Linked DNA regions of Struthio camelus. The protein of the gene in region 2 binds, or shares a complex with, the protein of the main gene of each other region. Links are inferred from orthologs where the notes say so. Each region holds a gene or a part of one and is shown on either strand. Other genes may lie near its edges.

Evidence for each region.
Region 1: the proteins of SNTG1 (region 2) and TRPV3 are in contact, whole or in part, in a crystal structure (PDB 7QQN), measured with the Homo sapiens proteins. The link is inferred for Struthio camelus from reciprocal best matches to the Homo sapiens genes SNTG1 and TRPV3. Residues at the interface, in NP_001274742.1 of Homo sapiens: Arg62, Gly66, Gly67, Phe68, Gly69, Leu70, Ser71, Ile72, Lys73, Gly74, His78, Ser85, Lys86, His118, Glu119, Val122, Arg126; in NP_659505.1 of Homo sapiens: Pro786, Glu787, Thr788, Ser789, Val790.

Annotation. Positions count from the first base shown.
Region 1 is NC_090957.1:17,836,783-17,852,614, forward strand, and holds the start of TRPV3 (transient receptor potential cation channel subfamily V member 3), read left to right. Parts: upstream 1-8,671; 5' UTR 8,672-8,821; intron 8,822-12,998; 5' UTR 12,999-13,017; coding exon 13,018-13,136; intron 13,137-15,832. UniProt on the Homo sapiens protein: Non-selective calcium permeant cation channel. It is activated by innocuous (warm) temperatures and shows an increased response at noxious temperatures greater than 39 degrees Celsius. Activation exhibits an outward rectification.
Region 2 is NC_090943.1:139,605,138-139,620,866, forward strand, and holds the start of SNTG1 (gamma-1-syntrophin), read right to left. Parts: upstream 6,603-15,729; 5' UTR 6,477-6,602; intron 5,771-6,476; exon of another isoform or gene 5,537-5,770; intron 5,489-5,536; exon of another isoform or gene 5,257-5,488; intron 1-5,256. UniProt on the Homo sapiens protein: Adapter protein that binds to and probably organizes the subcellular localization of a variety of proteins. May link various receptors to the actin cytoskeleton and the dystrophin glycoprotein complex.

The DNA.
Region 1 (15,832 bases), on a different chromosome or scaffold from region 2:
GAGAAGAGATGAGTTGGGCTAGGATGAGTTGGGCTACGCTTCTTCAGTAGTTGAAAATGGACAGATACGATTCCGGTATGTTACAGCATTGCAACACCTGAGATGTGACCTGTGTCTAGTCAACCACATGAGCTGAGCTGTCATGTCTTTCAAACTCTAGTAATTTCTGAATTAGCTGAGAAAAACATACATCCTGCCTGTAAGACCTGGAGCCACACAGCCCAAATTTGTCTGTTCTCACTGTGCCCTCTGCAACAACTGGCACTGGTGCTAGATAACGCTTGTCCTAATAAAACATTAATGTCAATCCATCCCTGTGCAGCTCACTGGTAGTTTCTGGTGGAGTCCATGGGAGACTCTAGGGCCCACAAGAGGGCCCCCAAGGCAGGTACAGGGATGCTACCCAGTCCCTCTGGGGTACCCCATAGCTAACTTGCCCCAGGAAAGCCCTTCTTCCTCTGCCACCATGGCCCAGATTGCTGCCTCTGATCAGATTCTGTAAGCAGAATCATATTTCTCTTTGCCAAATGACAGCTACTCCCATCATTCTTCTGTGGCAAAGGTCTGTATCACACTAACATGTTACTGAGCCAAGCATCTTTGCTGGAGTGCTCAGTACTCAAAAATCCCCAGGGTGTGTGCCCAGTGAGCACTGCAATGTTACAAAACACACGGGATCCCACCAACGCCATAACCTTACAGGATAAAGCCAGTGGACTCGTGTTCTGACACTAAAGCTTTTCATGTCCCCATTGGTAGGAATTTTGTATATTTTAGAGCAAGCTGTCACGGTAAATCTTCCAAGCCAAAAGAATTCATGTACGTTAAAAATCCCAGATAAACTATTCAGAGCAACCCACTGTCAGACAATGTCCTTGGATATATAATGTCAGCTTGTACATTTTGCTGCATTAGAGACAATCCACTTGTAGTGAAGGTTCTTGTGAACCTTGCTCCGTTAGGCTACAGGCATGGTTTTACTAGAGCCTGGGAGGAGGTTGTCTTCATTGACACTGCCACATGCAGCATGGGCATCCTGGATCTTCTGATGTGGTTATTGGGCTCTGAAGTGCTTCCCATCATGCAGACTGAGATCACTTCTGATGCTGAATTAGTTTCCAGAGACAATATGGATGCCCAGTATCTTCTACATCTGACATGAAACTGTGCAAAGCACTTGGAAATGGACAGTGGAGAGCACCCTGTCTCCCTTGGAAGGAGGGGAAATCAACCAAATGGCCTCATGCGACTTCTCTCTTTCTGGTGTGTTTGTGATTCTATGGCAAAGCTACATCCTCGTTAGTAACACTTCCTGTTTCAATATGCAGGCAATGAACAGACATGAGGAGACATGAACGTTTACAGAATCTCTGTGGTTTTCAGAATCCATCATTGTGCAGAATTATATTTCTCCATCATCGTTACAATGGACCTCTGTGAACGTTTAAGTGACCTGAACGGTGACATGAAAACTCATCTTTCCTGGAATTGCCACGTTGGCCAGCTGTAGAGTAGTCAGCAAGAGCAACTCCCAGTTACAGGAAGTATCCTACTCACTCAGCCAGTAAGAGCAGTTTTAAGCCATGTCACCAGGTGGAAGTCATTCATTTCCAACCTCACATAGTAGGTTTAGCCCAGACAGTTCCTTGTATTCCAGAGGAGAACGTGGGTAGTGAACCACCCAGAGAAAAGGGATGGTGTCTTCAGTTGCTGTTAGTCAGAAGGGGAAAGCTGAGAGTGTTTAATTGGCATAGAGTAAGATACAGGGAGGATATCAGTTCAGTGATGTCCCTCATTACCAGAAGGATGTTGAAAAGTGAATTTCAGGGCTGGAAATGGGTAGAGGGTTCTCAAGAGACCGATTTGCAAGGACAAGTGGCAACAGTTAACTGCATCTTAGCTAAGGAACAGGAATCTAAGCACTGACAGAGAGGACATGACTTGCATAATAAAAGGGATGTAATGAGAAAAATGGCTTGAAACTGAAACAGGGAAAATGCATCCTGAAAAGATGATCTATCTATGGATAATATATGATGTGCGTCTGCCCAAAGAACTCCCGTTGGAAACCCTGGAAGATTCAAACTTCAGCACATGCAAGCAAATGTATCCAGTGCCATCAAGACTGCAGCAACATGGGACCTGCAGGTTTCAGCTCTCTTATTTTTGGGAAACCAAAGTATCAGATGATTAATTTTGACTGGTAGATGTTCACCTTGAATTCTGCTTCACTTTTTTCTCAGAAAGGTAATGATAATAAGTGGAAGGGATCTGCAAAGACTTTAATTTATTGTAGTTAGCGAGTGTCCCATGTGCTGCTGTGGTTGATGCAGAATTTAGCTCACAGTGTAGGACCTGACGGTGGGTGAATTTGGGTTGGCCTCAGATTTTTTTTTTCCAGATCTAATCAGCTTTTTGTGGGGGGAAGGGAAAAGAAATGTTCCACATGTTTAGATGGAGGACACAGGTGATGTTTTTTCCTTTTAGAAAAGGAGGCTTGATACTCTTAAAATCAAAGACTAAACTATAAATTCAAGCTGAAATTATTCTGATATTAAAGTGCCTCCCTGGATTTGGTGATTACCCTCAAAAGGCTGCTTGAGTCAAACAGGAGCAGAACAGACTTGGGCAAAAAAATTTAGCATATAGGTGGGGCACGCTTTGTACATGGTGTATTCCTTGAGGCATTTTCATATTGCTTAATTCCTCTGCACTGCTAAGTGTTACCAGAAACTACACACCACAACTGAAGATTTACTCAGGGTACAAACTCAGGCTGAAATAGTTGGAGAACAACCCTGACCTAGTTGGATCTATGAGTCTCAGAACAGAGAAGCAGAGTTTGTGCTTTGAAAGATCTGAAAGAAGTGTTACGTGTTGATTCATGTAGGAGGTATGGTGCCCTTCTGGGTGACCCTGAAGTCAGAGCCAATGGCAATAAAAAGTGCCTATCTCATGGTCTTAATACTGGCTTTATTTCTTCCTAAAATAGAAGCCTCGGAAGGTCGCATATACATGTGAGCATCGCTGGCTGACTGCACACAGCCTGTGACCTACAGCACCAGCAGACAGCACATACAGGACAGACACAAGGAAAAGTGCCCAACACAGCACTGTTCGATGGAGTGACAACTGGCAAAGGTCTTTGTAGGTCTGCCCTGTTGCTTTGCACCTTGGGAGTGGCAGGGGGCACTACCAGTAGCACAGATACAAGAAAGGAGACAGGGAGAGTGACAGAATCATTCTTCCCATCACTTATTATTATCTGGTGTTCATGTAGTCTCCTGTAATTTTGCAAAGAGAGGGGTTAACTATGACCTGAAGGCAATTGCTGGTACCACTAACACAAAGTGGATTTTTACTACACTGATTTCAACCAATTCATGACTGAGCCACTCCCCGTGCAGGGAAGTGGCCACAGGTGTTGACACTCAGTGCAGGAATTGGAGTGATTCAAGTGGACTAGCGCACTAGCAGGTGGAGAAGGAATATAAAAAGGGAGAAAGGGTTTCTGTCCTTTTTCTTTGACAATGGGGGAATGGCTGGAAGCTAGGACATAGGATCAGGCTTTCATCTCTCTACTTTTTTCCTCTTGTTGTGGGTATTAGAGTAGCCTCTGTGAGTTCTAGCCATGGATCAGGGCACTACTATGCTAGGTTCTGTGAAAATACAAAATAGAAATGTCCTTCTTCCCAAAGCTAGCAGCTTAGCTGTGAAAGAAGACAGGAGCAGATTAAAGACAGGCTGAGGAGTGTCATGGGCAGTATTACTCATTGGGATAGGCAAGGAGTCTCAGGGCATCAGAACTGCACCTAGAGGAATCTACTTGAATTGGGTCCAGAAGATTTAGCTTTTGTGTTCAGCAAAATAATTAGGGTGTCTGGCTGCTGGGTAGTTTTGACAGTCCCAACAGCGGTACTATTCCTTCAGTGTTCCAGGCTCAGCTTTTTTACTTCTCCTGACGGAAAAATAGACAACAAATAAGCTGCATGCATGGTGACATAGTTGCAGAGAAGATCCTCGTGATGGAGGGAGGCTGCAGTAACGCTTCTCTGTCCTCTGGTGAATGACTACTATTCTATGCCAGGAATCCCTAGGGAATAAAAATTCCAGGTATGAATGTTAAGCAAATGTGTGTAATAATGTTACTGAAGAGGCTGACTTGTCCCTGCAGTCTGGACTGTACCAACTGTCAGGTGATAGCCCAGTATTTTCCTGGAATGATTTTCCCCCAGGCTGTCTCCTGTTAGATGACAGCCTAATACATATCTCTATTGCTCAGCTGTATGCAATCTCTTATCTCAGAGTGTACCTAATGCTTAAATGTTTGCAAGTGCCATTCAGTTGTCTGGATGGGAGTGCAAAGCTCTCCATACAGGTGTAGCAGTTCACAGATATAATCCTATAATGAGTTTAACTTTAAGAGTGGAGGAATTGGGGGAGCATTATATTGAAGATAATGTTACTGAAGCTGGGTACTTAATGCACAGTCAGGAGTATTTAATTCTGCTAGCTGAAGTATCTGCATCTGAAAATGTGCTTTTAAGTAGTTACTTGGTGTATTGCACTGTGTACATGTCAAAGTGTTATCACTGTAAAAACAAATTCAGGACAGAGTTCAGCTGTTCCTCAAAGTCCCTTATCTTGCACACTTCAGAGTGAAAATATTTAAACAGAAAGTGAGAATTTCAACAACAACATCTGGAAAACAAATAAGGAATGATTTGGTGAAAAGTGAGGTACAATTACTAAAAATCAAATCACTTATAGAACTGACTAAAAAGTGCTTGTATCTCTAAAAGGGTAGTTACTAAGGGGAATTTTTCTCTAGGACAGCACTTGTTATGAAGTACTGTGAAAATAGAAAAGCAACCTTGAAACAGGAGTGTACATCTCTTTAAGTTCAGATAGAGTTCTGAATGATTAGACTTTCATTTTTCGCAGTAGGAGAAATTAGGAGAGAGATAGTAACACTGATCTATTAACCAATAGTTATTTCACTATTTTTCCCTTATGCAGTTTATGTAAAATGCCCTGTGAAGGAAAGTGTTAAGAATCAAGGTCAATTTGTTGATTTAAGATGGATAGACAAGCATCTCTCTTTTCTGCTGCTATGTTTTCTGATGGCATAAAAAAAGACTTATTGCAAGGGCTGCTTGTATCATAGTTAACTGAAGAGAAATCAATAATGTGAATCCTCTCAATGCTGAGGACTGAACCTATACAAAGAAAATCCAACTGCTAAAATCAGGAGTTCACTATTAGAAAGCAAGCCCACAAGATCAGGAAAGCTCTGCCTTGCTGCATTCCCTGTGGAATGGCTTCTGCGTTTACTCTCTTGAAGCACGCTGTCAACAGCAAAGCACCCTCTCTATACTCTAGTGAGGGTAGCACAGCAGCACGCTGTTGTGACCTTCCTTTCCTCTCCCACCTTCTTCCCTCCTTGTATCTGGTTTCAAGTTGGCTGGAAAGCCTATGGGAAAATGATAATATCTGATGTTTCTTATCATACCCTACTGAACAACATCTTCATGTGGTTCTTCAACATAAACTATGCCACCAGCATTAAATGCATACGCATTCTTTTAAAACTATAGTCTGTATGTGATCTCTTGTGGATCCTCCCCAAAACAGAACAACAATTCTGACTTCTTCTCTGCAGAAATGAAGAGAATTTAAATGCACTTTTTCCACAGTGAAAAATCATGAAAGACTCTTTTTGAATCAAATATTAAGCTCAGGGGAGCTGGCTGATACGGGTGTTTGGCAGGCACAATGTTTTAATACTTAAACTTTGGATTATTTTTAAGGAGTTTGGGGAATGGAATGCTGGCAATAAGTAATTTACAATTATTCTTGCTGTTACCCATTAATGTTAAAAATGCTTTTTAGACAATGGCTTTTCCTCTTAGTGAGTCCCTGTTGGGGTAGCAAAAGTCAGAGAATTGGATGTAATCTGAATAACTTCCTAATGCGAATTTGACTCTGATCATGTCACGTAACAGCAGAACAGAAAATGCAGCTCTGACTCCCTGATGTCAGATGGCAGATCTCCAAATGCTCATTCCCTCCCATCTGGGGCTTCCTTCATCTTGTTCGTTTTAGTTTCTAGCAAGTCTAGCGCTTGTTAGAAAAACAAAATAATGCATGCCAAATAGGCTGCAAATGTGCTGCTTACTGGTACTGTGCAGATTATCCAAAACTAATGTTTTCAAGTAATTTTTTGATAGGAAATCTGTGCCTAGTTATTAGTGTTCCTGACCTTTATGTCATCTCTGTTAGTAACTGGTAAAAGCAGCATAACGTTATTGTTTGAGGCCCTTTTGATATTGAAGCAGCTGGTAACTGTTGTAAAACTCTGTAAAATGGTCTACACAGCCATGATACAGCCTCTTGCAAAACTCTCCTTGGCTTCTGAAAAATGCTAGCCTTGTCAGAAATCTCAGGGTGGAACAGGTCTGGGAACATAAAGGTTAAGCGGGTTAATGATTAAAACCATAAGAAAATGTTTGCCCAGATGTGACTTACTGTAGTTCTGCCTCTCATTTCCTGCCTCTTAGGTCTACCCTTAAAAATAACTCAGTTCAAGCTCACAACACCTAAGTATAACATGTGCCATTCTTGTCTGCTTTCAGGAAGATTAGCTAGAAACAGTCTAGGCTCACATTTCCTAAATCTGACAATTGCACAGAAAAGGTCACGCTTAGCTATAGTGAGTCAAGGCTGTCCTCATAATGGAATGAGAAGCTTTTAACACCGATCAGACAGGATGAAGTGTGATTCCCAAGCACATGAACTGTTACAGCTCTTGTAATCCTCTACACCTTTTCCTAGGCAGGTTTGATGCAGGGGTCCAACTCTCTGTAGCTTGTCCTAGTTTTTCTTTTTGGATAAATGCCACTACATAATAAATAGGCCATGCTGCTAGGTCCTATATTGTGCTAAGTCACGCAGATCTGGGTCCTTTCGGATCTAGCTGCTTTCTGAGTCCAAGGTGCTTGCTGCCAAATTCATTTCCTCTCTCTTTACCGGAGGAATTTCTTAACTAGTCTTTACTGTGGTTTAAATGCGAGCTAAACCTAGAGTCCTTAAACGCACCTTCACCCAGTTTTAATCTAACTTTGCCTGTTTTCACATGTGGCTCTCCTGCCTCAGAATGACCTCAATTAAACAGTCTTCTCTTGCTGTTTGTGTGGACAGCTAAGTCAGTTCTCTCCCAGGCAAGCTTAAATGCCAGTATTCAGACCTTATTCCAGTGAGTAGACCAGCAGCTGGGAGACTATCAAAGCAGCTGACTCAATATTGTAGTGTATATTAGTTTAAGCACAGTCATTGGACAAGGTGTGAACCACCTTCCTGGTGCAGGGTTTGGAGTATATCATCACAAATTTGCCTCAGGCAAAGCTGGATGTGTGCTCAGCACATCCAACCAAAGGTCTTGCAGTGCAAAATCAAGCTGGCCTAAGCATGGCCCGTTTCACCACACTGGTTATGAGAAGCTAATTCACTTCCAGAGACAGGGTAGTGCTCCCTGGTATTTCACGTCGTAGATTTGACCTTGATTTGAGGCAAATATAATGCTCAGCAGCCCTCTTCTTTAAAGAGATCTACTTGATGAACAAGAGGGGTTTGCCTACAGTTTGTGGATGTATTTTAAAGCCATATTCTTCAGATTTCAAAAGTCTGATTCTAGGTCTTAACATCCTAAGGTATTTTGTTTTTCTTTCTAAATTTTCTATCTACCTTCCACCAACCTCCCCCCAAATTTGACACTTTCTTCCCTTGTTTATAGCCTGAGGAAGCTTTCTGTTTGGCTAATGTGCATAAATCCCCTTAAACCCGCTTCTATTATGTCTGTAAAGGAGAGAATAATAGCTATAAGAACATCTCTTGGGCATTGCTACAAAGATGTGCAAGTTTTAAACATGCTATTTCTGGTGATAAAGGAAAAGCTCTATCCAGCATGTCCCATAAAGAAGTCTGTATTGGCAGTTGCTCAAGAGCTCAAAATGAGCAAAGCTGAAAAATGTTAATTCCTGTAGATAGCACAGCAAGAAATAACACTGGTACTGTGTACGTGAAACATGCCTGTTTGTATCCTTGCAGATCCTAAAGGTACACATTCATCAAAAACTAGTTAGGGAAAGATCTAAAGACATCTGCATCACAGACATTATCACTGTGAAAATACAAGATTTTCTAAGCCCATTTCTCCTTTCTCAAAGTAACAGTGAATATTTTTGCTTTCTGGAACACTTATCATGATCTTTTTCTCATTTTCACCTTGTGCTTTCTGAAAGGTACCATAACATACAATAAACTAAGCATGACATAAAGGGATGTCATTTGCAACCCAAATGCATGTGCATAACCATTTTCTTTTGAAAACAGTATGTAAACTGCAGAGGGCTGTGATTGCTTTAGATACTATACTGCTGCCAGTAAGTCAGCCTTAAGCGACTCAGCTTTAGTAACACTTCGGTGCTACTAAATAATTATTACGTGTATATGTGTCATCCCACTTTGGCAGTTACGAAGTAAAGTTTGTTGTCTAGCAAGTTTCTCTCAGCTCCCTAATTTACGAAGTAACAAATCCTGTAAGGCTGCAGTACTCCAGCACTGCACTTCTCTGTGCTTTCTATCAGCTGAGAAACCTGGTCGACTGAAGGAGGGTGGTTTTGCATTTTTCAGATAGTTTGGAGCCTGATTATAGTTTTACTCATTTGGTATATTAGTGTTTTTGGATGTTGTCGCAGTGTCAGCAGGATCCTACAATTCTGAGGTGCCTTTTCTACACCTGAATGCAAGTTTCATGAGCATGGTAAGTTGTGTGAGAGCTGCTGTGAGTGTTTGGTTTAGGTGTGACGCTCTTATGGAGAATGAAATCTTTAAAAGACAAAGACTAAACCTATCTTTCAACTGGAGAAGGCTTTTCTGTTGTGCTTCTTGCTGTTTTTCTAGTTTATTAATCTTTCTTCTGAGCCATGTCGCATTGACTCCTTGGGCATTCAGAAGTGAAAAAAGATATAGCTAATTTCATGTATATTTTTCACCTTGATGCGCACGATAGCATTTCCTAATTTCTGTGCAAAGAGGATCCAACATATACTGTCATACAAACTAAACTTAAATAATATTTTCACCTCCTATTGAAAGTCTCAGTTACTGTAGTGAGTGTCAAAAATAAAATACCTGGCTGAGTGGAACAATCTTTATTTCAGCTCATTAAAATGTCTTCTTTTTGTCTAAAATAGGCATAGGCAGGTGAATAATTTTAAAGCATTTTCCTCAGGGAAGAAAGGTTGCTCTTCACAGAGGGTTTTTTTTTAATTTCTCTTAAAAAAAAAAAAATCCTAGGAAAGAACAAATTTCTCACCAAGAAGAAAAACACATTTAGATAGTACCTAATCTCTCCTACAGCCTCTCAAAAGTTCGAAAATCTTACAGAAAGATGAAACTCTCTTTCTATCAAGAGTAACTTTCTCCTGATTGGATTCATACCATATCATAAATAATACACAAAAGCCAAAATGGAATTTTATCATCTTTCCCCAGGGGAAAGATGATATTTTTTCTATGAGCTAGTACGAATTAGCTTGTAGGTGCTGGAAAGGGTGGTCTGTGCTGTGGATGTTTGGAGGATCCTGTGAATGAAACAGCTGTTATTAGTCACTTCCACTCCTCTGCCCTGAAGGAAGTAGAGTTTGTCCCATGATAGCACAGCTGAGCGTTTCTTGTCATTTGTATGATTCTGTCTTTAGCTACTGTGTTTATACTATCATTGATCTACAGAGATACAAATATGTATGATTTTTCCTTGGTCTCAGATAAGCACGAGGAGAGTCTGTGGTAGTGCATAGAGTATCATTTGCTGTAAGAGTGGCAGAGTCCCATTCACCGTTGCAGATATATGGCCTTTTCTCATCCCCACCACGCTGGAAGTGAGATACTAAGTCCTCAGTGTACTCACCATCCCCTCCAAATTAATTTTTAATACTATAAATCAACATAGTATTTTTTGTCTCACTGCTCCCTTCAAATAAACCACTTCTCTGGTGGCCTGAAAGTAACAATTAACTAGAAAATGAAAGTAAAAAATAGTTGCACCAAAAGAAGGCACTCCATATCAGGTTATGTAAGCTGCACTACATATAATTGGGCATTCTCTGGACTGTTGCGCTTTTTTACTCTGTAAATCATAGATTAGAGAAAACGATAGTGCAGGGGGAGATCTCTGATGATGATGAAAGTAGTAGGTCATTAAACTAACAAGACAGAGGGAGGGAAGAAGCTGATAAGCAAAAAAAAAAAAAAAAAAAAAAGCTCCTTTAACTTCCATGAGATTTGCATGGATAAAGCCAGAACACGAAGTGATCTCTGTAGGCCATACTGTGAAAAGCCCTACCTTGGTTTTCATCGGAGCCTGCAATTAATCGTGATTACGAATGAGAAACAGATGCTACCTCTGCACAGTAACAAGGTACTTCTTCCACAGTGCCTGCAGTTATTTACCTGTGCAGACTTGAGATCTCATTTAAAATTGTCTCTGTGGCTGCACTACACAGTCCAGTCTCCCAAGTGCCTTTGAAAGCTGTAGTCCGTGTATACAAAAATGAAACTTTGTTCTTTTTCTTCCCCAAATTGTTTCCTTAAATCACTGATGGTTCAATTGTCTTTCATTACACAGTACAACCTCAGTGCTCTGACATTACATCTCCTGAACCACTTTGCCTACTCTTAAGCTATTGCTAACATCTCTTCTGTGAAAACTGGCTGCAGAAGGGGCTTAACCTTGCTCTCCCACAGCTGGCCCATACAGAAGCATGCTATTGTATCTGAGCAGCTCTGGCATCGCTCACAAATGAGCGGCTCTTCCCTGTCCTTTGTGTGCTTTATAGACGTCAACCTCAGTTTTTATTTTCTCCAGCTCTTCCTACTGCTCTCTCTGACTTCTCCAGCTCTCACACACCTGCTGGCCGTGCCCATCTCAGCTCAGCAACTCCTTTTGCACAACCCCCTGTTTGACCTGCTCTTCTACCTCTTGGTCTATTTCCAGCTATTCTCTTTCTCTAAAGTCACTTCTTTTGTGAAGTTATTTAATGCCAGTCTCCATCTTATTCTAGTCCCCTTATATTTGATTTACGTCAAGTACCTCATTTAGTACGTCAAGAACCATGCCTTTAATGCGCTTATAAACTGCACTGTACTCTTAAGGCATTCTGCAAGAAGTAAATAGCAGAATTATTTGTGAACTAAACAAGACAACAGTAATTTGTTTTAGCTATGTTTTAATAACCAATACAATGTGTTTGCAGATCTACAGTACTGCATTTTTCAAAGGCATGGACAGAACTCTATTTCCTACCTCAAATTATGTAACATCTAAGTTCTGTTCTTCTATACGCCTACCACAGTGTGTCCTTTGTTTGCAAGTGTGTAAAGTAACATCAGATTTGTCCTTTATGATTTATTTCTGTGAGTTTTGTGGTATGAATTCTCAGGAAATGCATCCAAATTATGCATGTTTCTGATTTGCATTAGCGTGGTTTCACATTTGTCACGTAAAAATGTCTACCAGTGGTAGAAAATACTGTAACGTTTTATTTTTGATATGTACAAACCCCTTCAAGGTAAAGGGTACTCTCAAGTATTTCAGCTCTCTTCTCTATTCCTGTTAGTTACAAGAAATTACAATTGCATTTACAGGTGTTTGGGCCTTGCAAACTCTCAGTCCTCTATCCTTAGGACTGAAGATCTTCCTGTATTCAAACAATTGTCATACACGCACTAATGGATTTTCATTCCAGTATCAATGTATTCCATGTATTCATCGCCTCTCTAACACCAGCGATCATGTCTGTTCACACACACTCCACAGTCTGCTTTCTGCATCTTGTTATTCCCATCATGAAGAAATTCTAGTTGACAGTACTGTGACAGGAGTATAAAATTTCTTTGCACATATGTCACATTAAGGAAAGTGGAGACAGGAGGGGAAAAATCATTTTGTTCAAACCTGCAGGCAGTGATTGTTATTGTATGTCCTTGGTTATGGAAGGCACTTCCCTGATTTGCTTGGGAAGGGATTCATGACTTTGTAAAACTTGCTATTTCTACATGCAATGGATTTTTAAAGGATCCTAAATTTACTCTCTTGCTTTTAAGTTATCCTCAGTGATTTAAAATGATGCCCTTAAGTATTATATTGAGAAATAGAAAGATAAGTATTCATTATTACTTACAGATTTCATGCTGTGAGTGTTCATAAGCAGATAAATGCACTAAGGTCCTTTTGTGTCACATGGTGGTGATTGTTCACACTTAGTAGAGTCATGATTTTTCTTTTTTCCTGAAGAAATGTTAAGAAGTGTTGCTAGGACACACAAGTCCTTGGTGTGATCCGTGTGATAAGATTGTTTTTAGCTGAGCTCTGCCTGGGGTTAGTATTCAGACTCTGCCTATTGCTTCTTTTATTCTAATACATTGAAAAACTTCAGGGCTTTTTCTCTGCTCGCTACGCTTCATGTCTGAAACCTTCCTTCACACATTGTACCTGTTGCAGCAGACTGGAATTTACCAGTTTCCTAAAATTGTCTTGGATAGGTAAGAACAGACTCCTTAGATTAACTGCAGAGGTGCACAAACGTTGGAGCTACTTACAAAAGTCATTCTGCTCGTTTTGTTTCTCTAAATAACATATGCTGTCATTGTGATTGACAGGCTCCCTTCAGTTTAACTTAGGTGCATACTTGAAGTTATGATTCTCCTGGATTGATGGTATCTTTCTTTATCCCACTTTCATTAGAATGTAATTTAATCAGTCATGAATATAACCTTCCAACCTTGACACATAAAACAGTGTGTATGTGCTTAGTAACTGAAAATGAAAAGCTTTGAAAAAAATGTCAAGATTTGTGCGCTTACATGTGAAGAGAGTGGAAAGAGGCGATTTGGTCACCATGCTTTCTTCAAATGACCAGGGAGTTAAATAACTGTAGATCTATCTACTGCAGAAACATGATTAAAGATAACAAAGAAATTATTCCACTAATGGGCAAGAAAGCAAATCCGTCTGGTGTTCCCCCTTCAAACCAGCAAGAGAAAAAGACGACTGAAAGCACTCCCACAAAGAAAAGGTAGGACTCCAGCTTATTCTAGAACAGTAAAACTACCTCTTTTATCTCCTTTAGTAGATGTTAGCACTGAAATATTACTAACAACTTTATTCCTCCAGTGTGTATGAATGACATGGGCCTGATGAACACAAGGTGTCCTAAAAAATAGTGCACTTATGCAGTTAATAAGCGGAAGATTATCCTGGTAGTTTGGTAGATGTGTAATGTTTTCACCTTAATGGGACAAAGACGTAATTCCTATGCCAGGGACGTTATACTCACGCACCAATCTTAATCTTGTGTCTCATGTCGGCTGGGCTTTCTGCATCTACTCTTTGTGTCTGTATAAGCCTACAAGAACATGATCTAACAATGGTCAGTGTTTCAGTAGGAGAAAGTGGAGAGATCTTTTTAAAGAGATCACACGGCAGGATACTCTGGCTTTTAAATAAGAGAGAGGCTGACATGGAAAAAGGGATCATTTCAAACTTAGCCTCACATGGGAACGTGACAGATAATGAGGACACAGAGGTGAAATTAAAAGATGAGGGCTGGCAGAGCAGGCGGTTTGAGGAATCCTATCACAGACAGAAACCTGAATTCACTCTATTTTTCATGATTCTGATCAATGAGTTTTCTCAACTATTTTATTTTATAGAATAAAATATTCATTTTCATGTATAATTTATGCTGGAGAATCAAGATGTGGATTAAAGGTTTGTATTTAATGTGAATAGGGAAATGTAAGTAGTCGTTCATCCCTGATAGTTACTGTAGAGTGAGCATGAATTTTCATTCATAAACTTTTCACTCTGTGCCTAATTACTAGCTATTATAGCAATTTTTGGAACTTTCAAGGTCCAGGGAACTGTGGCTGCGCTGACATTTATAATTCTTAATAATCGGAGGAATCACTTTCTACAGAAATGGTATAATTAGTTATTTGAGACCTACTGCCTGGGTAGCCTAATTTCTCCTTCTGTCATTAAGTTCAAAAGAAGTTCTTCATTTGAATCATGACACGAGTTGTAAAAGGGTGAGACAAGGTATCTGAAGAGCTCACAATACACCTGGTACTTCAGAAACAGGCAATTCCCTGGAAGATTGTCTAGTTACAGCAAATATTGACAAATACTGCCCTTGAGTTACTTAAGCTCCTATATCACGTTCGGTTTTGTGGCATCAATAACAGTAACCTCGGGGGTTTTCCCGTCTCACAACTGGGAGTTCAGGGTGTGGCAGACAACGTTCCTGTAACATAAGGAATGAAGATCATGTGAATTTTAATACAGAGGTTTAACATATTCTGTTAATTATGTGTTCCTATGCTGCTGTACTTCTTTTGCTTCAAAATGTTTTTTTCTGGTGTGCTGTACCACTAAGCAGTTAGTACGCTTCCATGGGTGGCATTTCTCACTTGTCAGATGTGTTGGCGATATGTACTTTATGAAGACAATGACTTCTCCCTTCTTGAAGCCCCTTTGGTATTTGGGTGAACTAACAGTATATAATTAAGTACAGGAAAACCAACAGGCAGGCTGGGAGGAGCGTTGACAACGTTGTCAGAGCCTGACTGTGTGTGTGGGTAATGTTCCTGACAGTGAGCACCACGGCCACGTAAGCACTTGGGTATTTTCTGGCAGTTGTCGACTTGCTTTGCATGGCTTTTTTTCTTTTCTACACCTGTAGTATCCCCAAATAACCTACGTGCTGGGATAGGTTAGGTATGTCAGCCTCCAAAATAGGGCCCACTTCATAGCTGCTATAAATCCATTGGATGCCAAATTCTTCAGCATGAAGGCACTTTTGGGAGAGCAAGAGCTGCTCTCGGGGACATCAGCCGGTGGCACATGCTTCCCTTCCAATGCTGAGCCAAAGGCAGGGGAGACGGTCCGCAAAGCCTCAAGTGTGGTGCTTCTCCAGGCTTGTTGGAGGTTCACTAAGGCCACCAAAAGCTGTTTGCCTGTTGAGGCAGATCCTGCACATCATAGTTAGGGAATGCAAAAAAGCAGGATGAACCCATGTTTTTTCCACTCCTTCTTAGTCTCTGCCAAATTCAGATCCCAATGAAGCAATAGTGATTTGCAGCAGCTGTGAATCTGACAAGTGTGGTGTAAGTAATGGCAATGGTCCGCTTTCTGTCTAGGTCTTTCCTATACTGTTAAGGATGCCCCGCTGCCTAAGTAATTGCAGGGACACAGTCCTGCTCACCAGAAGTGGCATTTTGTTTGCTGCATGCTTAGAATGCATTCACAGGCACATCTCAGATGTTAAAAGGTCATGTAAGTTTAAATGTCTACACACAGCGAATTGACACTTGGAGCACCAAGACACTGGAAAATGAGAGGGATGTTAGATCATGCTATTTTTAGTGGATATCAACAGGTTGTATGTAATAACATACTGCATTTTAACATCAATGTGTGTATTTTAATTCAGTTGCATTCTTTGTGGGAGGTGGGGGTGGGGGGGCAGGAAGAACTATCTCACTGTCTAAGCCACCAATATTAGGTGAATTTGAAATATTTTCCAGGTGATTACTAGAACATTTTAGAAAGATAACACAGATTCTAAACTATAGGCCGTGTGGGAATCACTGCATTCATCAGTGAAACTCCCCTGTCTTAGATGAAATGTAACAATGGCTTAATGAGACCTAGTAATCTCAAGCTATTGACTTTCCCTCCAACCCCACAGGCTTTTAAAGGGATAAATCT
Region 2 (15,729 bases):
TGTTTTGTTACAGAACAACTGCTTTGCATGGATAATAACAATATATTGCCACAAAAATGTATGCAATTTAATAACGGATTAAAACGTTTGTATGAAGAACTGTTTGTGAATTCTTCTGCATCCAGGGACATACAGCTGTGATACAAACTGGTAATGGATACAGGCAGACAGCTGCGTGTGAGGAAATCTGCAGCTTCCAGACAACTGTAGAGCTGATGATTTTCCCCTCTTTTTTCACTTGAACAAAATCTGATTAACGTAGATCGGTTCTCAAAAAGCTGCTTAGAATTTACATAAAATGATAGGAAAGAAGGAAGAGAGTTCTCCTGCAAGCATAATTCTAATTGCTTTACTTCTTTAGGGGTCAAAAGCAAGCCAAAGAAAATCAATGTCCATTTGTGTTGCAAAAGCTGAAATGTACAGTTCATTATTCTCAACTGTTAAAATAGTCAATCAAAACATTTTACTATGTGGAGCAACCAGAAAAAGCTATTTCACATAATTTTAAATAAAGATATATTTAGAATTAGCATCAAAGCATTTCATAAGGAGAATTTCAGCAACAATTCTGTGATTAAGAATCAATGTTTTATAGTTAGTCAAATAATAATTTTATCATGAATGAATATCAAGCTTTGAGAAGACTTCTGAGACTTCCAACAGCATTATAGCTGTTGAAGTCACAGAATTTTCCACTGAATTCAATAAAAATAGCACAATAACCTTAGATGCCAAGAAAAGAATCAGAAGATGGGATTAGGATCACTGGCTAGAGTCTGCCATCTCTACAGAACTCAAATTCCCTTCAGCTTTGGAGAGAAAGATGAGGAATTACAGTAATATCTTAAAAACACTCCCATTCTTACTTCTTTCTGGATACATATATATTATATTAAATAAATTTAACACACTAGACAGAGGAAAAAAAAAGGCATGTGTTTTGTTTTATTCACACAGCCTTTGTTCACAGTTAAATGTAAGTCTATTTAAATTATCTGACAAAAAGTGACATAAAATTTACTTAGACAGACTTACTTCTAACATCCACAAAAAAGCTAGTAAATTGCCTGCTATTTGAAACAAGATGTTGAGACTGAACAAAAAATTGTAATAAACCCAAAGTTCAGAATAATCTTACAAATAAATTGTTGCTTCTTTGCTAACATTATCTCAGAAGTTCCACGCAATGAACACTTTGGAAGCGCTTAATGTCATCAGCTTTAAAGGTGTGAACCAAACCTTTGAACCAAAATCTCACCCAATGAGTCAGGAATACCCATATCTAACAAGAAGTAAAAAATTCCAACAATCTAGATATTATATAAAGATTATAACTATCTGCAGAATAATCAATTGAGCCAACAATCAATTGCACTCATGGCAACTCTGAAACCATGAGCTCTTTCGCAGATGCTGTATCAACATAAGTATTAAAGCATTAAACCATCATCCATCTCCTTTCCCTCCACCACATGTCACATAGGACTTTCAGTAGTCATTGAAACGAACTGTGTTGAGCACCAGTTTCAGCATTTAGCTCTGTTGCAGGGCTTGTGCTGTTCAGGGTAGGGTCAGTTCTTCCCTCACAACAAAATGGACGTGTGGTGTTCAGCTCCTGGCATGGGAGACCTCCTGCTTTATAGTGAAAGGCCACAGCACAGCCCTACACAAACTACCCGGTCCTTTACCACTGAAGTCATTCTGAATACCTGAGAAGGGCAGCAAACCTTATCCAACAATATCATTTAACCACGTTTTGGTCTTATATGCAAAACGTCATCTTTTAGAACAATTACACTTATGTAACTCGTATCAACTATTACTCTCATGATATTATTAAAGTAAAGAACTTTCTTGTCCAATGCTACCAAATGTTAACTGGAGAACATGTCATGAAACTAAACTTATCCCAAACACTTATTTTTTTCTTAATTATTATTATCATTCTCTATCGATTACTTTAATAAATCAATGGGATCAAGTCCTCAAGAAACAACCCAGCCTCTGGCTCCTGTACTTCGAGACTCTCATCATGCAAGTGAGCGCTCCACCACTTTTTGCCAACTCAAGCTAATTATTGAAGACAAAAGTTCAGAGTGCCAAATGAGTGACAGGTACATCTGAAGTGCAGAGTATAAAAACATAGAAAGTTTTGTTTCTGTATTACATAGCTCCTCTTCTTCATAAAGAGTAGACGCATCACTCACTAAATCCTTCCCTCTAGATGGATTATTCCTCCCTTTGAAAATTAAATATTCATGCAAATTTCACTGACAGTGCCTCCATTACATTTGCTCCTGTTGGTTCCAGTTGTATCTTTGAGATATGATCTATACTCTCCCCCCCATCCCCCAATACATGTGCTTTCTCTCCTTCATCTGACCTGGAATAGAAAGGCAGAAAATTTAGGCTGGCCACAATGACAGTAAGGCTTTCTGACTCTTCCAGTTACGGAAGGTAAAACTCAGGGCAAATACAGAAAGTCAGGTGTGTAACCATGCTGAGATGATGTCACCTCAGACTGTCAGACGTATGCGTTGATGCAGCAGACAAACTGGGATTCAGCCTATCTAATCCTCTCTCTGGTAACCTGAACTGAAAGTACAGCCATGAGAAGGGATAAGAAAGACTATACATTAAATCCATTTGACACTTCTTACTTGCTACCACTTCTTACCTTTTTAAACAATGTATGCAAGCAAAGGTGGTGATGACTAGCCTTTGACAGTATCACAGTTTTCCCAGTAGCTCAGCCACAAAGACCAGTACTAAATTACGAGCATGAAGAAATGGTACTTATTCAAGCACTTCAGAGTGAAGAAGAGTCAAGAACAGACTACTTTTTTAATATTTGATTGAAGATGAATGAATAGTGACTCAGACAACTCTGTTGTACTGACTGGACAGCTTGACATATTTTGTCAATTCATGAAGGTTATATCTGGCAAGCCAAACAGCATGCCTGAGCAGATATAACAAAATTAGCAAAGGAATGCAATCTGTAAGCTTGCCCTGGACTTTCTAAATCAAATCAACATCTTCTCTATTAATTTGCATAGTATAAAAATAAAAATACATGCCATAAAGTTGAATATAGTGTATTTTGGCAATCTCCGATACAAAAGATACAAGTAAACTAGGATACAGAACATGAAAGAAAATACTAGAATAGCCTTACAGTAAGCAAGTTCTTTCCTTAAAGAACTCAGGTATTTCTTTCCCCTTTCTTTTCAAATTTTCAACAGAAAAAGAAATGTTTCTTTCTTCTACCAGACTCAGTGAAAACTCAGTTCTTTGGCCATAAAGCAGAATGAAAAACTGGCTATAGGTGAAAGGCTAGAGCAGCATGTTCTTTAATTCAGTGACAAGGACCTTCATTGGATTATCTCATAGCTATGGGACAAGATACTGCAAAAGCCAAATGATGCATCATTAAATTATGTTTTCTTCTTCTCCAGGCAAAGACAGAGTATAGCATTAGATTAGTTTGAAGGACTAAGAAGAAAAGGAAGAAAAGGGCTCTGTAACTTGCATCAGAACCGGCAAAGCTGATATAATTTTCAAAAACCACTTATCTGTATAATCAGGTATAAGCAGTTACTTATGTTAATTTTGTAAACCATCAATGTAATGTATAGCCCCAATGAATTCCAGCTCAGTGCATGCGTCAGTGTTTTATGATCTCTCTTGCACACACTTAGTGAAAGCCTGCCACTCTGCAACAGAGAAAGGAATTACTACAATAAGTCCATAGCTACACTTTGATAAAAGATACAGATTTTTTTGATAAGCCGCAAAAAGAAGCTGAATGCTTTAAATAATGGACAGGTTTGTGCCCCAGTGTCTAGCAACAGTTATTTTAATTGCTTTTCACAGTATCTTCACAGTCAGGAATATGAACCACAACAAAGCTCTCCTGAAACTGCACTGAAACAAAGTGACATTCCTCTCAGACTGCTTACCCACAGTGAACTTCATCCACTATTATGGGAAAGGCTTACTTTTTGCTATAAACTTGAGTTAGTTGCACCTTCAAGCGTAACTCGTTCAAGTTACACGTTCAGTACTGCCAACTCAATGCCTTTTAATCCTATTATGTTAACTCCGCATTCATGTAAAGTGTGTGTTTCAGTCCATAAGAAGATCCCTTCCTTACAGCTTCCCAGCCAACAAGTGCAGGCAAATCAAAGTGCATTAACCTGGGAAGCTCTGAGCACCCCCCACTACCCCCCCCACACACACTTTTTGCCAGAGTTCTCTTCGATTAGAGAAGAAAATATCCAAAACTCAACAAACATTTCACACACCTTGATATTTCTGCAGGAGCATATGCTTCCAACATTGCACCTTATACTTTTATCACTATCACAGAGTTATTTCCGCAAGTCCACTCACTCATAATGCCCAGTGTCTCTGCTGAAACTAGGATGTTCACTGGAACTGAGTTCTTAGTGAAATGCTAGAGCTCAGCTATAAATCTGTGTAACTCCTTTTATTCTGTGATGCTTTCATGTTAGACCAGGATGTACATCAAGGTTACTGTAAAAGATTGTCATTTTTAGACTCATAGAGAAGACACCAAGGAAATCAATAAGAGAAAACTTAATTAAACACAGTCTGAAGTTTTGTCTTCTCCCAAACCTGTCCAGAATTCACTTTATGAATCCTCTTTATCCCCTACCTTTCAGAGACAGATGTTTCATAGAGAGGAGCAGGCAGGTTGGTTAGCTCATACACTATGCGTGCTGAAAGGTGACCAGGAGAATTCATTCTTTTCAGCGTGACTACCCTGTTTAGAGATCTTTGAGTTTTTAGCAAGAGATTACAGCCCTATGGGTCTGCTCCTTCAAAGCGGAGTTCCTCCAAGAGCAGAATTAGTCCCGTGTCTGCTCTACGTGCTGAGATATACTGAAATCAACTTTTTGTTTCACAGCAATAACAAGTAGAGCAATAAAAATCCATGTGCTAAAGCAAACAAACAAAGCTGGAGAAACCACATCCTCACAGCAACAGCATCTCAGAGAAAAAGAAAATCACCAGGCAGGACACAAGAAAGTAAAGGCATAAAAATCAAAACTCTCTAGGTTCACTATTTTAACCCATAGATGGGTATGAAATATGCTTACACACATACCCTGCCTCTCTCCTCCAAGAGCCACTGCTGGAAAGCAATAAAGGGACTCCTGCAATTAAGTTATAGCCTAGCACAAAGCAGAAGACATTTTATATTAGCACATATAATGCATCATTTCTTACAGGTGCAGAAGTGGGCAGCACAGGATTACTACAGCGCTGCGCTTTACCGCTTGTGCACGCCAAGTCCTGCACCGTACGGCTGCCCTCGTCGTACTTCGCCGGAGTTGGACCGGGCGCCGCTGCGACCTCGACCACAAACCTCCCGCACCGACACGCCGGAGAGCCAAAACTGCAGCTGGGGCCGCTGCCTCCAAAACCGCGAGTAAGAAACCCAAAGCTGCAAAAAAGTCACTGGAGATGACGTTCATGCAGCGCAAGGACAACAAAAAACGACACTCACTTGCCTGTGTGCTCCCGCCGGGCGACCTCCTCTCGGCTGGCGAAACGCAGAGCCGCTCGCCCTCCTCGGACCTCTCCGAGCGATTTCCAAAATATTTCCCAAAAGGCCGGGGCATCTCCGGGCTCAGCCGGAGCGCGCAGGGAGCCCGGCCGGCGCGCCCCCGACCCGGCCGCCCATGGTCTCCGCCGCAGCCCCCGGCCAGTCGCGCTCGGATGCCCGCGGCGTCGCCTCGCGGCCGCTAGCGCCGCATCTCACCCGGCCGCCGCCGCGCCGGCGGCAGCGAGGGGGCTCCCCGCGCCCTTGGCGGAGACGGCGCGGGGGCACCGGGCGGGGGAGCGCGGCTAGGCAGCGCCGCCCCTCCGCGGCCGAGAGCGCCCAGGCGCGGCGCGGCGAGGCGAAGAGGCGCCGCCAGCGCGGCCGCAGCCCGGCGCGGCGATGCCCGCCCTCGGGACCCCCCCCCAACCCCACCCCACCCCCGGCGCTCCGAAACACCGCCCCGGGGCCGCCCCCAGCAAAGCCGGCGAGCCGCGGCCCTGCCGGCGGCAGAGCGGGCCGCTACGCTCCGCGCCGCGCCGCAAGTAGAGGCAGCACAGGGGGCGGCTGCGCGGGGCACCGCGGGGAAAGTGCGGTCCTCCTCCCTCCCCCCACCCCGCTCCCTCCGCCGGCCCCCGCGCTGCCGAAACGCAGTCCCCCCCCGGTCACGGCTTATCCCTCTGCCCCCCTGTGAGTTCTCAGTGAGGAGAAATTCTGCCTTGCCCAGGCAGAAAAGTTTTTTGACCTCCGCCTTATTATGCCCCTCTTCTTGCTGAACTTCACTGGATGCGGTTTCTCCTCACTGTGCGAGTGGGTATATATTGATCGCTTGCCAGACGGAAAATATAACATATCAACCCCCTTATTTAGAAGCAGTTATGTGTGCGGTTTATTTTGACAGACTCACTTGAAGCGGCAGAGTCGTTTTCTTTTTAGATGCTACCATCTTCCCTCGGTCAAGTAATCCCTCCTAATCTGCCAGCCTCTAATTTTGGGCTATGTCGCTTGGGTTTTGTCGCTCTCCCACCTGCTAAGGGAACGATGCCCTGCTTAATTTTTCACCAAATGAAGACATGAGAAACGAGCGAGAACGCGTCCCCGCTCCGCAGCGCGCGGGGGCGGGCGGCGCCCAGCGCTCCCCAGCTGGGAAGGGGGCGTCGGAGGCGGCGGCGGGGCCGCGTCCCGCCCCTGCAGCCTGCCCGGCCGCCGCCGGGCGGAGAGCTGCCAGCGGCACCTGGGGGCCCGCAGCCCCCCGCGGGGTTGGCAGCTCCCTGCAAGCTGGTTTTGCGGGGCGGCGCAGGGGGGAGCAAGTGGGAGAGCACGGCTTCCCCCCCACACACACCGTGTCCGGGCTGCCTCGGCATCCCCTTGTCCTGGAGCCACGGTCAACGGGTCATCTAATTTTGTTTCAACAGAGGAGTTGGAAGTTAAAGTGGCTAAAACATGGCAGCAAGCAGGGTCCGTGCTGGGTTTGGGGCGGGGGGGGGGGGGGGACAAAAAAGGAGGAGGGACAGGCGAAAGAGGGAGGGAGGGAAGAATAAACCACTTGGTGTCTGTGTTGGACATCGAGTATCACTGAGAGGCCAAAGCCTTTCTGGATCCAGAGGATGCGGGTTTCTGCAGCGCTGCTGTGCCAGGACTGCAGGGACGAGGGAGGGGGCTGATGCCTGGGCTCCTTCCTCCACAGGGAGCCAGGACCTGGGGCTTCTCGGGAGGGAGCCGGGCGCACCCCGGCGCAGCACCCCCGGCAAGCAGCAGGTGGCAAAGGGGGCTGCTCCACCCCGCATCCCTAAATCCCCTGCGCACCCGCAGCCCTGCGCTTTCGCACTTGCTTATCTCCAACAGCTGGCAAGCAGCCCCGCAGCCGGAGCTCACTGAGACCGTACAGCAGTCACCCCACCCGTCGGAGAGTGCTGAAATGATATAGCATAACGTGGCAGATCATATATATATAGGCATATATGCGCGCCCTGTGGTGTATTATACGCACGTATACGTCTGCGCTGCCAGTGCGGGGGAGCCGGGCCCGCGGGGTGGGGGCCGCCAGCCACCGACCCGCCTTTGCAAAGGCTGTGGGGGTGGAGGAAAATTAAAACGGGAGGAAAGAGAGCGCCGCGGGGCCCCTCGCAGACGCAGCCGTCCCTTAACCGCCTGCTTCCCTCACGCCGGTTTTGGGGAGCAGCAAGCTCCTCCTGCCCCCCCCCCCCCGGTGGCCTCGGGGGAGCCCGGGGCGCCGCGCCTGGGGGCTCGCGGGGGCTCCGCTCCGCTCTGCTCGGCGGGACGGGGCCGCGCGGAGCTGACTCGTTTCATCCCACCGACGCTATGTGGAGCTACGAAAGCAGGGAAAAAAAAAAAAAATAAATCCCACGGTTTAAAGTGGCAGCGTCGGGTGCAGCCGAGGGACCCTCTTCTGCGTCTAAGTTTGGCCCCCAGAGCGGGCCAGGCTGGTTGTTGTCGCTAGATTGCCTTATCCGTATCCTCTGGGCCCCGTTTTAGCTCTTGGAAATGTTATTCTTTAGTCAAGCAGAGATTTTCAGGGAGGGTGATCAAAATTACACGTCCAGTGAAAGCAGATTTAGCTTTGCTTCTGTGTAGCTCCTCTTCGAGCATTTTTCCTCCATACAGTTGTTTAGGCTTCTTAGAGTGAAAAGTTATTTTTTCTACATTTTATGGTTAAAAAGTCTTCTTCTGCCAAGCTGGGGCAAACAAAAATCTTTTTGTTCCTTATGAATTCCTTTTATAAATATTAACTTCAGTAATGTGCAGTGAGCTATTCAGGGGGAAAAGATTTTAAAAAGACAGCTCCATACAAGCTAAATGTAAAGATAATAGAGTTGCTCTGAAGAGTGCAGCTGATAAATGCATAAGAATATGCAGTGATGGATTTCATGGCTAATGGAACAGATTTGTACTTGGGTCCTCATCTAGAGATACAGATTCTTGTTTTTCCCTATTTCTTAATAATGATTGATGTTAACAGACTTCTTGATAGCTACAAGCTAACCAAGCTATCTGTCCTATTCCGGTTCTACCGCAGATTGAATGGTTTGAACAGGTAGTTCTCCTGACAAGACTGAAAAAATAAATGATTGCAACTATATATATTACCATCCAAGTCCTAATACATGTATCTCTCAGAATTGAAATAATGAGTGAAATTTAGTGAACTGAAAACTCGTCTGAGTCAAACACAGAAGTAAAGCAGAAGTGCAGCCATCCTTGCTCTTGCTTTGTTGAGAAAGGCCTCAGAGCACAGTTTTTAAATAAAGTGGATATGAATGATCCTTCACAATCTCTTAACTACCCTGGCTGGAGCAAATACTACTTGTTGGGATAGCTCTGATGCAGTTCCAACGGTGACAGCCTCAGCTGTTGAAATCACCTTTCCTTAAAACTCGCAAGCCTGGATATAGATTAATCAATACATGCCATATTCCTCCTAGCTGTAGGAAGAACTGTCATCTCTAACAGAGACCTGTTACCTTTCTTTTATGTGAAGATGAAGAGTAGAGTGATACTCTTGCTTATGTAAGCAAGACAGTTTTATTTTCACAAGAGAAAGTTATCGCAATTTTTGCTGCAAGAGCTTTCAAGCTCTTCCCATGCTTGTTAAAACATGCATATCTCAGTTAAAAGTTTTATTAGCATTAAGAATATGCTGAAGATAAACTCTACCAAAGCAGATGAAAAGTGTGCAATTTTTAAAAACATTATCAGGCAGATTTCACATGATTGTATGAAGTATGTGTGACTATCAGTTTTACATAATATTAGAAGATTAGTATTGTATTACATTTTTGCTTCAGGCAGCACAAACACAGCATAGGATTCTTACATACACAAAATTCATATTTCATACAGGTTTAGAAAGTAATCAAGAACATGAGTCAACATTTAAAGTCAGATTGGGAGACCCAGAAGGGTTTTTGTGTAGTTACTGGCAGTGTTTACTAGAAAATATTACATGGTATGACATAAACTAGTGGTAGCTTCTGCTGCAGATTGTGCAGCTTTAGCCAACTGGCACCATTCAAGGTGTCCATCAGGGATGAGGTGACAGAGGAGTAAGAGAGTTAAAATGGAGGAAATAAAAGATAAAGATGAAGAGCAAATTGTATTGGCTAAAAGATGTGGGGGTGGAGGGAAGGATGTCACTCAACAAGAAAGTCGTGACATCCTTTGTAGAACAGTACTGACTATCTATCTATGAGCAGCTATTTGTCCTCTTTCTCCTAAGCAGAACCCAATCTTTCTGGTTACAGGATATTTCACTCTGATTGTGGGCAGTGATTCTGACATCTGGCAGCCAGACGTTTGTGTCTATATCTGTGGCATGTAACTCCTCACTGTGAAAGAGCTGGGAAGTGAACAAGAAAGAACTAAGGGCCTGAAAAAGAAGTTACAGGCGCATCATTATATCAGGAAAAAAAAAAGAGAGACCTTTATCCAAAACCAGTGCAAGTTAGGGGGCATCCATTCATGTAGCAAGTCCTAGCAGGTCTGCTAAAACATCCATGGCTAGCCACCATTATATGCTCTTTCCTTGACAGAACTTAGCTCTTTATCAGTTTGAAGCCATCAGCTGTATCAAATACATTCCAGTCTGTAAATGAAGGCAAGGTATTCCCCCATTTTGAGCATGAAAATCTGAAACTGAAACTGAGGCATGGGTGCTGTTCATTTAGAAGCAGCTTTGGTTTTAGTCACAAAGTATCTTAAATAGACCCCAAAATTTCTTAGAAAGTATCAGTTTTTATTTATTCACATGAAAATAAATACTCAATAAAAAGATATTACCAGCCTATAAGAAGATCTCATTAAGCAGAATATCAAAAGGCAAATTGAAGTGAAACTCACAGCATTGATGAGATTTTCTTTTTCCATCAGAATAGAATTAATATATTTTCAATATCCACTTCCGGAAAAAGATATGGCTGTTGTAATTCCCTCAAGAATGGGTATAACATGCTATATAATAAGTAGGTCACAAGGCCATCTATGAGCATCAAGCTCCTGGTACTCCCTATATTGCAGTAGAAATTTAGAGAAAATTTCCAGTTTCTGATGAGTTAATATTATTTTTAAATTCTACTCATAGACTAGTATTAATTCACCCAGTTTAGTCCAGAAAAGGCTATGAACATATTCCTTCTTGTTCCCCCGCAACTAGATTAAACTAAACTCCAAGAAAATATGGAAAGTGATGTACCAGTATCTGGCACACTTATATAAAATAGTGTGTCATTTGTCACCATGGCTTGTAATCTTAAAATCTGACTGGAGGAATGGTGGAGACCAAAATAGCCTTTATGTTCTGTGGGTGGCCAGAAAACTGCAGCTATATTCTATAATATTCCTTGCTGCCATGATTTGTTTCTCAAGAGCTCCTGTGAATCCGTTTAAAACTCAAACTCATGTAGGCCCAGACAGAGACATGGGTTTTGTTCTGACTGCAACTCATTAAAATCCCTCTTTGTACATGTAAACAGGATATTAGCAATTCCATATGAATATTTCTTTAAAATTCTGAGCTTTTCAAATAATCCCAAAGCTTGGAGAATTTAAACCCACATATGTTGAAACCAAATAGCAGAAAACCTCAAAGAAGCTGTGAAGTTCATAGCCTTAAACTCTTTCCTTAATCCCAAATTTTATAGGCCGTCTCTACATCATGTTCAGTACTGTTATTATTTATGCCAGTCTATAATTGGCAGGCATCTGATGAATGATTATTTTTAACCTATAAGAGAATTTCGATAACATTGTAACGAAGGATTTTAACCAGTTTTAGGGAAATTATCTGTTATCTATCTTAGTAATTAATTTATTATAATCAATTATCACAAATTAGAAAGGACAAGTGACAATTCACAGGCTATAATTAGTCACATCTAAGAAAATTATCAATTTCATTTTTCTGTATTATCCTCACTACAAAAACGTATCTCAGTATTATTCCAATTATCCTATTTCTTCACCAAAAGAAGATAAAATTACCCTCTGTGCACTTAAAAATTAATTTTACACATTGCAAACTTCAAAACTGTTTTTCCATTTGGAAACCAAATAAGTGATAAAATGCATGTATCCTTTAAAAACAACTAACTTAACAGTTTTATTTCTATTAGCTTCGTGGTGTTTAAAGTGGTAGTTAAAAGATGTGGTAGTGGAATTCAAATATGGAATGTCATCTGCAAATAATATAATGGATTATACTATTTTGAAGTGAAACTGACAGCGTGTGAGTTTCTATGTGGCTACAACCATAGCTTATAAAATGAGCACTATGTTCCTGGAATTAAAGGAAGTGTTGGTGAACACCTGAGACAGTTTCTGTGGGTGGAATTAAAATCACAATTTTGCCCAAAAGTTGCAAAATGAACCACTCTGCAAAAAGGTAAACAGACTTATGTGAAAAATTATGGATGTTATAGGTAATCTCTGATAGATGGATATTAGACCATGGTCTCCCCGGCATCTTCAGCCTGGCCCAAGTGTTTGCCTGTGGGATGTTGAAGGGAGCAACAGCTGTTTAATCAGCAAATGCTTCCAGACAGTTCAATATTTTTTCACACTCATTCATAGCCCCAAGTCAGGGAGAGGGGATAAAAAGGAGCTGCTTCTGTGGCTGCTTCTGGCTATGTATAAATGAGGTAAGCCTTCCTGGGTGGAGCCATCACTGCATCCCTCCAAACCTTCAATAGCAGAGGCAGCTTTGATTCCCCCTCCTCAGTCATATGACAGCAACTTCTTCATCTGTAAAAGGACTGCAGGATGAATTCAGTGCTTGCTGTAAATGGAGACAACGGCTGCTTCACTGCAGAAGAAGGGGACATAGGTATCTCTTAGTGTGAGGAACATGTGATATGTGTATATATGGAAGGGTGAACACTGTGTGCTGATCCTGGACACAAGTGCAAAGGAAAGTACGTTGAACCTGACCTAGTCTGACTGTCCTGTGGAATCTGAGTAGCTTTTCTACCATGATGCTTGTGGTTTGCATGCATGACCTATGCCAAACCCTAGGGGGAAACCATCTGGGCTGTGGGAGCTGCACCATGTACAGATGTTTCTTGAAGAAATTGACCCCAGATCAGAGTTACTGCAGTATATGATCCATGGTATTCCTGCATTAACTGAGGCAAATATTCCAGGTTCTTAACTACTAAATAATAAGCATTGCTCTTCCAGCATGTAGACACTCTTGATGGGTTTGTTCTCCCTCCTAGCTATGGATTGTCACTCACAGCTGTGAAATAGTCCCTGACAGCACTTTGTGTACTTCTTCCATGACACTTTGGTGCCAACAGCTGAACATGCCAGTTCTTACTCACATCACTCTGTCATTAGTTGAGTTCCTAGTGACTCCAGTCTTTGCTCACCCTCTGCCTCATGCTGTGTAGACATCTCTCTCTTTTCAGTACTGCCAGTCCCTAGCCTTAAGCTTCCTTGGGTAGATGTCTATCAGAAAAGTAATTGGTTGCCATATTTTTCCCTGACTAGACCAGGGATTAAAATGAGATGAAGAACAATAACAGAAATCTTATTAACCCTTTTTTTTAATAGACTACTTATTCACTACAATAATGGTATTGTTATCTACTCAGGTAGCCTCCCAATGATCTCTCATAAAAATCAACGTTGTGTGCCACTTTTCTGTTTCAGTCTAATACAAATGATATCACTATAGTATCTTCATTCTGTTCCCTCATCTCTGCCTTTGAATGTGCATTGGGCTCCCAGGTGAGGCTGGTCAGGGCCACTGAGGCTGATTAGTACCCTCAGAGCCCTGTGAGCAGCCTTCCCTCCCAGAATGGTGCGTCCTCCCACCTTACAGAGGTCTGGGTTCAGAAGGGACTTTAGAGGGAATAAATTACTATGGGTTGTCATAGGGCTATTTCAGAGAATGGGGAGCAAGGGCAGGGACAGATAACTGGGGCAAGGAAACAGTGTGGGAGACTTGGGGCTCAGTGTGGGGAGTTCATGCTGCGTACAAGGAGCCCTGGAGATGACATGGGGTGTATGTGTGTTGGGAGGGGGAGGAGGTTCAAGCCACAAGCCCTGGAAGCCGGGTGGGCTTGGTGGGGGATAGGGGGAGGCAAGGTCCAAGTTGATCATAGGGAGCCCCAGAGGTGCTGGGTGGGCTTGAGAGCTGCAGACAAGTCTTCCCACTGTGTAGCTCGGTCTGGGGAGGGCAGCCTGGGCTGAGTTGAAACAGGCTCCTGGACCATGGGCAGAGCACGGGCAAAACCTGGGTAGAGCCATTAAGGCCTATTAGTGCCCTTAGGGCCCTAACAGGTGGTATAAATAGAAAATATTTAGTATGTCTTGCTTCTCTGGATGAGTCACTATATTTACTGGGAGAAGCAGGGCTTGCCACTTTTCCGAAGTAGGCAGAATCTAAGACAGTCCTACTGCAAAGTTTTTTTTTTTTTTTTTTTTTTTTTTTTACCATGTATATGTATACCAGAAGATTATCACTCATTACAAAAACATGAAGTTACTGAGCTGAAGCTCCAGCTCTGACACAGCGTTTCCCAAGAGCTGTTTATTCCAGGGCAAAGTGAGCCCTCCTGCAATTCCAGAACTGTGCTGCTCACAGTTATAAAATAATACCCACAGCAACATATTCAGAAATTATGAAATGTGTGGTTTTTTATTAGTATAAGCATTGCTTGCATAAAAAGTGTCTCATTTTTATATAAGGAAAAACATTTTGACATAGTACCTTTGAAGTGTTCCTTCTGAGCAATCAGCTGGAATACAACCTAGCAATGACTTTGGACTCTCCACCTCTACTTGTCTGTTACAGTAATAATCTATGTCTTCCAAGTATTACATCTCTATAAATATTACGTCTTTATGAAACACATTTTCAGAGAAGTAAAATATAGGAGGGAATAAACTGAGTAGCTTTTCCAAATTATATAGGAGGTCTGTTAAAATTAAGAGTGACATCTGAATTATCTTAGTCCCAGATCAGTGCCCTGGTCTTGCTGCCTGCATTACCTTCCCCCTTCCTGGAGGGAACTCTGCCAACTTAGACGTCTGTGGAAAAGCTTTAGCAGCACTTACAAGCACAGAGGAAACCTAATGACTGTCTTTAAATATAACTTTAACCAATCGCAGGTATAATTTTAGCAACTCAAGTAATATAATTTTCCCATATCCATAGTAACTACTTCTGTGGGGAAAAATAAGCCAGTTAGAAAAGGGTTGCTGAGTTATAGCCTTACATTTGTGATATCACATTTAATATTCTATTTGATCTAAAACCAGCATGTATCCTATGTTCTATCATAGGTGACTTGCAAGTTGGGCTCACATGATCAGCTTCACACTGAATTTTAACTGGCTGATTTTTGCAAATTTTACTGTATCATACCCAGTAGCAAATCATTAGCTCAAAAAGACATTTTTCTTTCCTTTGTTACAAATATTTACCCCCCAAAATTCATTTACCCCTTTCTGTAGACATTTAACTATTTTAGTAGAGTTTTTGTTATCGTAATGAAAGGTTAACTGAGGGAAAAAATAAATACTAGTTAAATAACTGAATTAGAATATTTATTGCTTTCAGAAGAATAAACTGACTCTGAAGCATATTTTGATCATATTTCTCTTGTTAGTAATACCTTTTAAAAATGATCTAATATTATTTGCATATGTGATGAATATAGTCGTAATTTAGCACAGCTACTCAGATTTTAAACACAGCTTTTTCATGATGAAAACAAACCACATGTCAGTATGTGACAGTTGGACATTTTAAGGTCCAGGTTAGGTTAACTAGCCTTCAAAGTGGGCCTCAGCCTAAAAAAAAAAGTAAGAAAAAGAAGATAGACATGCATATCAAAAAAAATCTTATTTTTTACCGTAGGTGTTACTGGGAGAAGGCTATGTATAAATGGGTCAGAGAGCTATCACAAAATTAACAGTTAGAGTTGCATGGATATGAAATGAATATACATTTCTATTTTTTTTTTTCCAAATGACTAGCCAGTGAGTTAGATTTTCTGCCACTATTATTATGAATGCTTTAAGGAAATGCTAATTATGTACTCTGCATAATTTTTAACAGAAAATATTTGAAATTGGGATTTAGTGATATTTGTTTTCCATTTTTGATTAATGGCTTTTAAGAGAAGCAAACATAAACC